2 linked regions of the Nothobranchius furzeri genome follow. The protein of the gene in region 1 purifies or fractionates together with the protein of each later gene. This does not show direct contact. Links are inferred from orthologs where the notes say so. Each region holds a gene or a part of one and is shown on either strand. Other genes may lie near its edges. The genes, in order: map2k2a and ksr1a.

Evidence for each region.
Region 2: the proteins of map2k2a (region 1) and ksr1a purify together in Homo sapiens (affinity purification with mass spectrometry; 4 studies listed by BioGRID and IntAct, with this or other methods). This does not show direct contact. The link is inferred for Nothobranchius furzeri from reciprocal best matches to the Homo sapiens genes MAP2K2 and KSR1.

What each region holds. Positions count from the first base shown.
Region 1 is NC_091748.1:51,292,475-51,297,029, reverse strand, and holds the start of map2k2a (dual specificity mitogen-activated protein kinase kinase 2a), read left to right. Parts: upstream 1-1,521; 5' UTR 1,522-1,746; coding exon 1,747-1,835; intron 1,836-2,060; coding exon 2,061-2,271; intron 2,272-3,091; coding exon 3,092-3,238; intron 3,239-4,046; coding exon 4,047-4,124; intron 4,125-4,492; coding exon 4,493-4,544; intron 4,545-4,555. UniProt on the Homo sapiens protein: Catalyzes the concomitant phosphorylation of a threonine and a tyrosine residue in a Thr-Glu-Tyr sequence located in MAP kinases. Activates the ERK1 and ERK2 MAP kinases.
Region 2 is NC_091750.1:49,805,248-49,809,062, reverse strand, and holds part of ksr1a (kinase suppressor of Ras 1), read left to right. Parts: intron 1-742; coding exon 743-804; intron 805-878; coding exon 879-988; intron 989-1,762; coding exon 1,763-1,931; intron 1,932-2,096; coding exon 2,097-2,138; intron 2,139-2,340; coding exon 2,341-2,389; intron 2,390-2,473; coding exon 2,474-2,543; intron 2,544-2,624; coding exon 2,625-2,891; intron 2,892-2,960; coding exon 2,961-3,157; intron 3,158-3,244; coding exon 3,245-3,341; intron 3,342-3,815.

The sequences.
Region 1 (4,555 bases):
GAGAATCTGGTCTTTTAGTGGCATCTTCTCTTCTAATGATGCATAAGGTAGCACGGACAGAGGCTTATCCATGATGTACATGTTTTGTGTTGTTTTTTATGTTCATATAAAGACAATAAAATTTAAATAATATTTTATTAAGCCTTGAATTGCCTCCAGTTGTTCTTACAGGCAAATGGACATTAAGAAGCTGAGAGCAGCACCACTGGACTCTGATGTCTCTGAGGACTGGTTCAGGGGTGGATTGTCATGTCCTCTACCAAACGCTCAGATATCGGGACGCATTTTGATGCCTGTTGAGGATGAAACTGTAAAATTTGAAATGAACGTAATCTAACAGCTGTTATTGATGTGTTGAATTAAAACCGGTTCTTAAATATGCCTCTGGTCTTTAATTTTGGAATTTTTGTTCTTGAGTGACACGATTTAACGAGGGCAGATTCAGCCAATTATATCTCTGCCCTTTACAGGTGATCTCAATCAGATTAACAGTCAAAATAAATGTATTTTGTCAGCATTTGTAATTCCTGAACATTTCAAATTTTATACTTGGTGAGTAGTAGTGTAGTGGCATATTATGTTGATCTATCCAGACAGATATATAAAATTATGCACTATTGACAACTATCCAATTCCTCAGTCAGTTTTTAAGTCACTTCTCGGTCACATTGCAGTGTGATATTGAGATTTGATTCAACCAAATGCAGTTCAGTGCACAACAAGTGACTCAAAGAAATTACCCTAGCCAATTTAACGGGATTTTCTGTCACAGCAACGTGTCTTTTCTCTGTAATTTAAATGTATAGGATGCCAGTTTAGAAAAATGGTTGAACTGGAAAACTAGAATCATCAGAAGGAAAAAATGCCTACATGACCTACTATATTTTTGTTCGCTTCATTTGCGCAGGAATTGTGCCTGGTCGTCTTGATCGAGCCATAAAATGAAAAGTACAATTTGACTTCCCCTTGTGTCCAGTAGGGGGCAATAATGCACCTTTCCGCGTGGTTCGGAAACGACTGATGGAGAGTTTTATTTAAACAGTCATTGTTTCACGTAATTTAATTTAAAACTACACTAAAATCTTCTAACAATCTACAAATGTGCCCCAATTTACATCTTCACTTGTTCTCGCGTGAACTCGTCACTCTGTTTCTGTCTCGCGGTATTTAAGCAGAAGCAGCAGGGCTCTCCCCTGTGGGGTTTCTCACAGGCTGCTGCTTCCTGTAAGAAGGCACCAGCGGACAGCACCGCGGCTCTGGAGCGTTTCAGACCCTCTGCACACCTCTTAAAACACAAGGGGACAATTTAGACAAGTCCGCCGGCTCGGTCTATCCGAGCTGTTTGCCTTCTACGCACTTCGAGACGAGGACCGCTGCATATTTACGGCTGAGAGGCGCATATTTTCACTGGAGCTAGCAGTGGCTATGTGGCTAATGGCTAGTAGCAGCAGGTAGAAAACCCGACAAGGAGCTGAATACAGAACACCTGTCACTACACAATCCTATAGATGAACCGACAAAGCTATCCGACGTTTGAAGGGCACATCGGCATGCTGGGTTTTAGCAAACAAGCTAAGTGACATGCTCCAAAAAGTGTATAATCTCTGCTTACGGTAACTAGCCACTTAGAGCGGTTCCTGTTGCTTTTTCGAACGGACTCTCGAGCACGGGCGAGGTCGGATTAGCCCAGTTTACTCAAATCTAGTGTTTTACAGAGAGGGAGTTCTTAGTTTAGGGGATTTAGAAATGGCTCCTAAAAGAAGACCCGTGCCTCTCAACATTACGCCCATTGGGGAGGGACAGGCCACCTCTAACACCATTGATGCTGCATCAGAGTAAGTACCGACGGTAAACTGTCATTGTGTTTTGTTGGTGTGTTAATATACACGTTCTGTGTAAAAGTTTTTAAAGTAACACACAATCAGTGAACTGATTTCTGCTTGGTTGCCTAAAGCTGCTGTAGGACAGCTCCAGATGTCGGATAAGACCTGCACATCAGGATAAAAATAAAATTCCCTATTTTTTTTTATTCATCTTTAATGCTTGTCTTTTCTTATCAGAGCCAACCTGGAGGCTCTGCAGAAGAAGCTGGGTGAACTGGACCTCGATGAGCAGCAAAGAAAACGTCTAGAAGCTTTCCTCACCCAGAAAGCCCAGGTCGGGGAGCTGAAGGATGAAGATTTTGACCCGATTTGTGAGTTGGGTGCTGGAAACGGAGGAGTGGTCAACAAGGTTCGCCACAAACCCTCGGGTTTGGTCATGGCTCGAAAGGTGATCATCTGCCTTTGGGTGTTTCTCTGCAGCTGAAGTGGGACGATCGGAAGGAGATGAAGCCAGCGAGATTAGGCATGCCAGCGTTTTGCTTGTATGCTTTTGTGACATTTGCCTCTTAGCTTTGATGTGGTCGTTGTTTCGCTCCTTTTGGTGCTGCGTTTCTTTACCCGAGTAACATCGGAGTGCAGCCTTTCTTGGTTTTACAGTGCAGTTTTGAAACATCGCAACCCTCGTTTGCAGCTCTACACATGGTTGTGACCAGAGAATTCTAGTCCTTCACCAAAATTAAACTCCGTTTAACTCTGACATTAAATGTGAACATTTACATGGGAACCACTTATTTCATATAAATCCTCAGTGACACTTCTGTAAGAGGAGTGTTGGGAAAAATACAAAGGTCATGTGTGAGGGCATTTACTGGCAGTTCAAACACACAGATTTGTCATAACAGGTGGGTTTTTTGTTTTTGTATTTTTTTTAACCCTGTTTCTAGTTTATTGCAAGTCTTGACATTTTGCCTAACACAAAACCTAAACGGCCTTCCTAAACTAAAAAAAACTTCCAAACCTGCTGGAACAATCCAGTATATGTTTGCAGACCCTCTCAGAAATTCTGCAGCAACTCAAACTTGTCCATATGCGTGTGCAGACGTGTCCACTGATGTTTCCTCAAAGCGTTCAGAGATTGAATGATGTAACTTAAATGCATGTCTCTCATTGGTTGCTTTGAAGTGTGCATGCAGATTGTCCCACTTGTCATTTTGTCCCTGATCGATGCGTTTGTACGGAAATTGATGGTTTCACCATTTCCTTCTCAGTTAATCCACCTGGAGATCAAGCCTGCCATCAGAAACCAGATAATCCGAGAGCTGCAGGTGCTGCATGAATGCAACTCTCCCTACATCGTGGGCTTCTATGGAGCCTTTTACAGTGATGGAGAGATCAGCATCTGCATGGAGCACATGGTGAGAGAGACTGACTGTCTCTAAAGCTTTCTTCAGACATTAAGTATGAAACATTAATGGCTTCATTAACTTAATGGTGATTTTTAGATTTCCTTAGCGTCAAGAGTTTTTTTCATTGCTTCATACTATACCAGTGCAACAAATCCTGTTAATCTGCTAAGTGTAGCAAAGATTGCATCACTTTTCATCTTCTTTAAGCGTATTCTGTTTAAATTTCCTTCTGCATTTTAAATCAAATCAACAAACATGTTTTCCTTTTCTTCAGTATCTTATCAGTGCTGATTTTGAGATGATGCAACACTCACTACTGAGTTTTCACAACATATTTAGCAGTAAACATTCACATCAAGTTAACACTTCATGCTAAACTAACGGATAACAAACAGAAATGTTTTGCATTATTCATAAAAGTGGTCAAAGAGGTAAGAAGCTGCTCAGCTTTTGGCTCAATCGCTGTAAATTATAAAATGGTGTCGTGTCTAATCATCGTCTGGGGCTAATCATTAAGTGTAAAAGTTAAAGGTCTGTAATTTGGGCCGTGTTTTTGTTTACTTTTATTAATCATTTGTTAAATAGCCCACAGCTACTGTGCTTAACTGTTCTTTAGTGTGTGACTTCTGTTGTTCAGGTTTGGTTTGCTGAAAGGGATTTTGGACCAAACCAAATCTGACCCGTGTTTTCAGATCTGACACGGGCACATGCAGTCATGATGTGTTTAACAACAGGTGGCGCACACAGGAGCTGGGTTCTGTTGATGTGACTTGTTAATAAAGTTTAATCTTTATAAAGTAAACTTTTGTCTGTACAGGATGGTGGGTCTTTGGACCAGGTTCTCAAGGAAGCCAGAAGAATTCCTGAAGAAATACTTGGAAAAGTTAGCATAGCTGTGAGTTGACTTGTTTGTTCAGCTTTAATCTTTTCATCCATTGAATTTCGATAGCTGTTTTACTTTGGCGAGGTTTAGCTACACATTCTTGTGGTTTGTTGGTGTACAGTCTGCTTGTTGCTGCCTGCTCACTGTTCCTCGAGTCCTTTTCTAGTCTTGCTTGACTAGAGCTGTCCAGTCATGCTTTAGTAACACACGGTGGGATTCACAGTTCTTTCTGACTTTTAGCTCTTGCATTAATTTTAAATTTTACTAGTAGACTTGCTGCCCTATAGAACATCTTTTAAGAAGGCCTCCTGTGTTTGCTTGTAGACTCGTGTTAGTGAAATGTTTTTAATTGATAAAACTGTTTCCTGTTTCATTTACAGGTGTTGAGGGGACTAGCTTATCTGCGAGAGAAGCACCAGATCATGCACAGAGGTAATGGAGGT
Region 2 (3,815 bases), on another chromosome or scaffold:
CCAACTAGACTGGCTGGGATCAGAAAAACGGACTCAGTGTAGTTTTAATGGAGAAGTCTGTGATTGTTGGTGAATAAAATTAACTCTGCATCAGCCGAGGTTTTCTATTGGGTCACCTTTAATCTGTAAAACACTTCCAGTTACAGTCCTTGTGTGAAAAGCACTTTATAAATAAAGACTGATTGATTAGAAAGTTGTAGTTGAGTAGTTTTCCATCACATGACTCACTATATTTGGTAACAAGCTCTTTGCACCAGGATTTAACTAAATTAATTGTAGTACGTTACTGTTAGAGTTTTATTTGAGATTCCAGTGATTTATAAACCTTTTAATGAGACATTTTATAACGATGTTAACGTACTGTAATGCTAGAGGCTGCTCAGTTCAGCTCGGTGGTTTTTAACTAAAAACTCTTAATTTTGACAGATTTCTCTCTGATTTAGAACAATTAACTGCACCTGCGTGTTTTCACCAGAAACAATACCTACAATCTTACCTGAACGTAGCGGGTTAAGCGTCCAACATTAGTTGCTATGGTGACGCAGCCCCATAAGGAGTGGACCTGTTTGAAAACACTGAAAACCCTCAGTTGAACCCAGCGTTACCTCAGTAAGCCTCTAATCCTGGCCCATCGTACATGCTCCTGATGACGCCACTTAATCTTGATGCGACTCTGAGTGCTACCGGAGCTAACGGCTAAGTGCTACCAGGCTCCTCATGTGTTTCCTCCCTCTCTGTGCAGGTTAAAGTGCCATAATAAATGCACAAAGGAGGCTCCGTCCTGCAGAATCTCCTTTCTACCAAGTAGGTTTATATTTATTTACTTCTGGAGACGATGTGCACAAACATGGTGTGATCTTACTAATGTCTGTGTGTAGTTGCCAAAATCAGAAGAACAGAGTCCGTTCCCTCTGATATAAACAACCCTGTGGACCGACCACAAGAAGCACCGCAGTTTGGTACGCTACCAAAGGCCATCACAAAAAAGGTAAAAGTCCAACTTCAGCTTGTTTGTGAGGCTGAAAAATGATGTTGTTTGATTTATTTTTGGCTTTTCGAAGCTGTTTAAAACCATAAACTGTGTTTCTAGTTACAAACTAACCTGGCCAGCTATCCTATATATGTAAATATATAGTCTGGCCATGACCCATAGACAGACCTCCCTCGTGGAGCGTAATATACGAACCGTCTCCGCAGTGCTGGGACCGATCAAAGCATCAGACAACAGGAAGTATTCATTGCAATGGAAATCTGTAGCGATGGGACTCATGACTCTTTGAAGGGAGACGTTCATTCGAGAGCCGTTTACCTCAAAGGGCCGTCCCAAAGACTGGCTCTTTGGAACAAACTGAAGCGTTCTCTCGCCTCTACAAGAGCTTGGTTCTCATTGTTCACTTCAAAGAGCCGTTCGAAAGATTCGATTAGTTTGTGAATGTGACATAACTGGAAATCATTCAACGGGGCAGGCCGCCTACACCGTCAAAGACGTAGACAAAGACGAAGTAGCTCTATCGGCTCATGTATCAAAAACAAAAAAAGCCCAAGTCCAAAAGTCCAAAGTTGAGGCCATAGCCGTTCTTGAGCCGCCGCCAACATTGTTGTTTTGCTCCGTCACAGTTCTGCCATAATGACACTAAGCCCACCATCTCTCTACCAACGCAGCGCGCTGTGATTGGCCTGGTCTAAACTAAGCCGAGCCAATGGGAGACCTGCTTTTGTCTAGATTTCTAAGCTAGTAACAAACCGGCTCTGCTCTCGCCAGGATCACCCTCCTGTAATGAACCAGCTGGACTCCAGCAGCAATCCTTCCTCCACCACGTCCTCCACACCCTCCTCCCCAGCACCCTTCCAGCAGAGCAACCCCCCCAGTGCCACGCCACCGCCCAACCCTTCACCCAAAGGCCACAGAGACAGCCGCTTCAACTTCCCAGGTGAGTCTGTCGTCCACGACAGCGGACCTGTTTAGTGTTGAGGATGCCTCACAAGCACTTTGACCCTAATCTGTTCTTTCACTGCAGCCTTTTATTCAGCAGCTTGACTAACCAAACCTCTGTCTGCCTTGCTGATCTGTCCTCCTCCTCTTATTTGTCCAAAAGCTGCGTGTTACTTTCAGCATAGACAGCAGTTTATCTTCCCCGGTGAGTTGACCCTTCCAGAGTGACACGCTGAGTTCTTGTTGCTCCATCATAGCACCCTGCAGCTTTCCCATCTTCACGCATGAGTCCCGCGTCTCCTTACTGTGTTTTTGGCACCATCTGCTGGACGTAGTGAGAAGTTGCAGGAGGCTTTTATGTTCTGGATGTGTCATTGTTTCCTAAATGGTGTTTTCCTTTTCTCTAGACGTTTCCAGTCCTTCAAGTTTGTGCTCTGATGTCATCGAAGACACGGTGTAAGATTCTGATGCGGCAAAGTTTAAATCAAATGAGGAAATGTTTCGTTTGACCTGGTTTTTACCTCATTTCCTGTTTCCCAGCAGCGAGATGCAGCAGTGTGCAGATGACATTCATACCCAGCTGGTTGAAGATGAAGATGAGGATGAGGAGGTAATGAGTTCTAGGTCTAGAAGCGGCTCTGCTGTACCAGTGGTAGTGCAAGCTCTACAAACCTTCACGGCATGGTTGCAGGAAGGTGAGGAAGACGTCGAAGATGAAGACGATGATCAAGGAGACGAGGCAGAGGACGATGATGAAGGGGAGGATGAGGAGGAGAGGGAGCAGATGAGGATGAATGTGGGCTCGGATGGTGAGTGCGACGAGCTGGACGATCTTCCCTGCTCCAGGAGGAACCAGTGGAAGGGCCCCATCTCCCGTAAGCCCAGTCAGACCAGCGTCTACCTGCAGGAGTGGGACATTCCCTTTGAGCAGCTGGACCTCGGAGAGCTCATTGGAAAAGTGAGGAATTGGACAAATCTCAGCTTTGACACGCGAGGAGGCGCCGTTTCACACTTTTTCTGTTTTCAGGGTCGCTGGGGCAGAGTGCACAAGGGTCGGTGGCATGGCGAGGTCGCCATCAGACTGCTGGAGATTGACGGGAACAATCAGGACCATCTGAAGCTTTTTAAAAAGGAAGTGATGAACTACAGGCAGACCAGGCATGAGAATGTGGTCCTGTTCATGGGGGCCTGCATGGCCCCCCCGCACCTAGCCATCATTACCAGGTACAGGACGAACACCACCTTGGGCATTATTTAAACACAAATAACAGTTTTGGTCTATTTAACCTTTTTAAAATAATTTCCCCGCAGCTTCTGTAAAGGGAGGACGCTGTATTCAGTGGTACGGGACAGCAAGCACAATTTGGACATCAATAAAACACGACAAATCGCCCAGGAGATTGTAAAGGTATTTGGTTTTCTCATTTATCTCTACATGTCACTGATGCTCTAAGTCCACTCAGCTCAAATGCGGCCCATCACCCTGGTAGCTTTACGCTAGAGACCCGTCCACGTGTGGTCTGGGTTTGAACTTTTGATCACAAACACTTCCTGTTTTCTTGTTCTCTTCTTTTGAGTGGTTTTAAGTCTACTTGGGTTCATGGCACGTTAGCAAGCATGCACGCTAGCTCAGCTGGACATTCTGAACTGACCGTAGTGGTGAGTTTGGCTTTCTTCAGCCCTGAACCGGATCAGTCACGTATTAAAATGGATTGATCTCTTTATTTACAGAGAAGATAGAAAGCATCTATTGATCTAAAATAACTCTGTGCTGTCTGGTTCCTGGTTTTAGAGGGTAACACATGGCTCGTCCTGATGGTCAACATCAGTAACCTGATAATAATCTGCATGTAATGAAGTTCTACAGAGCCACAGCCAAGTA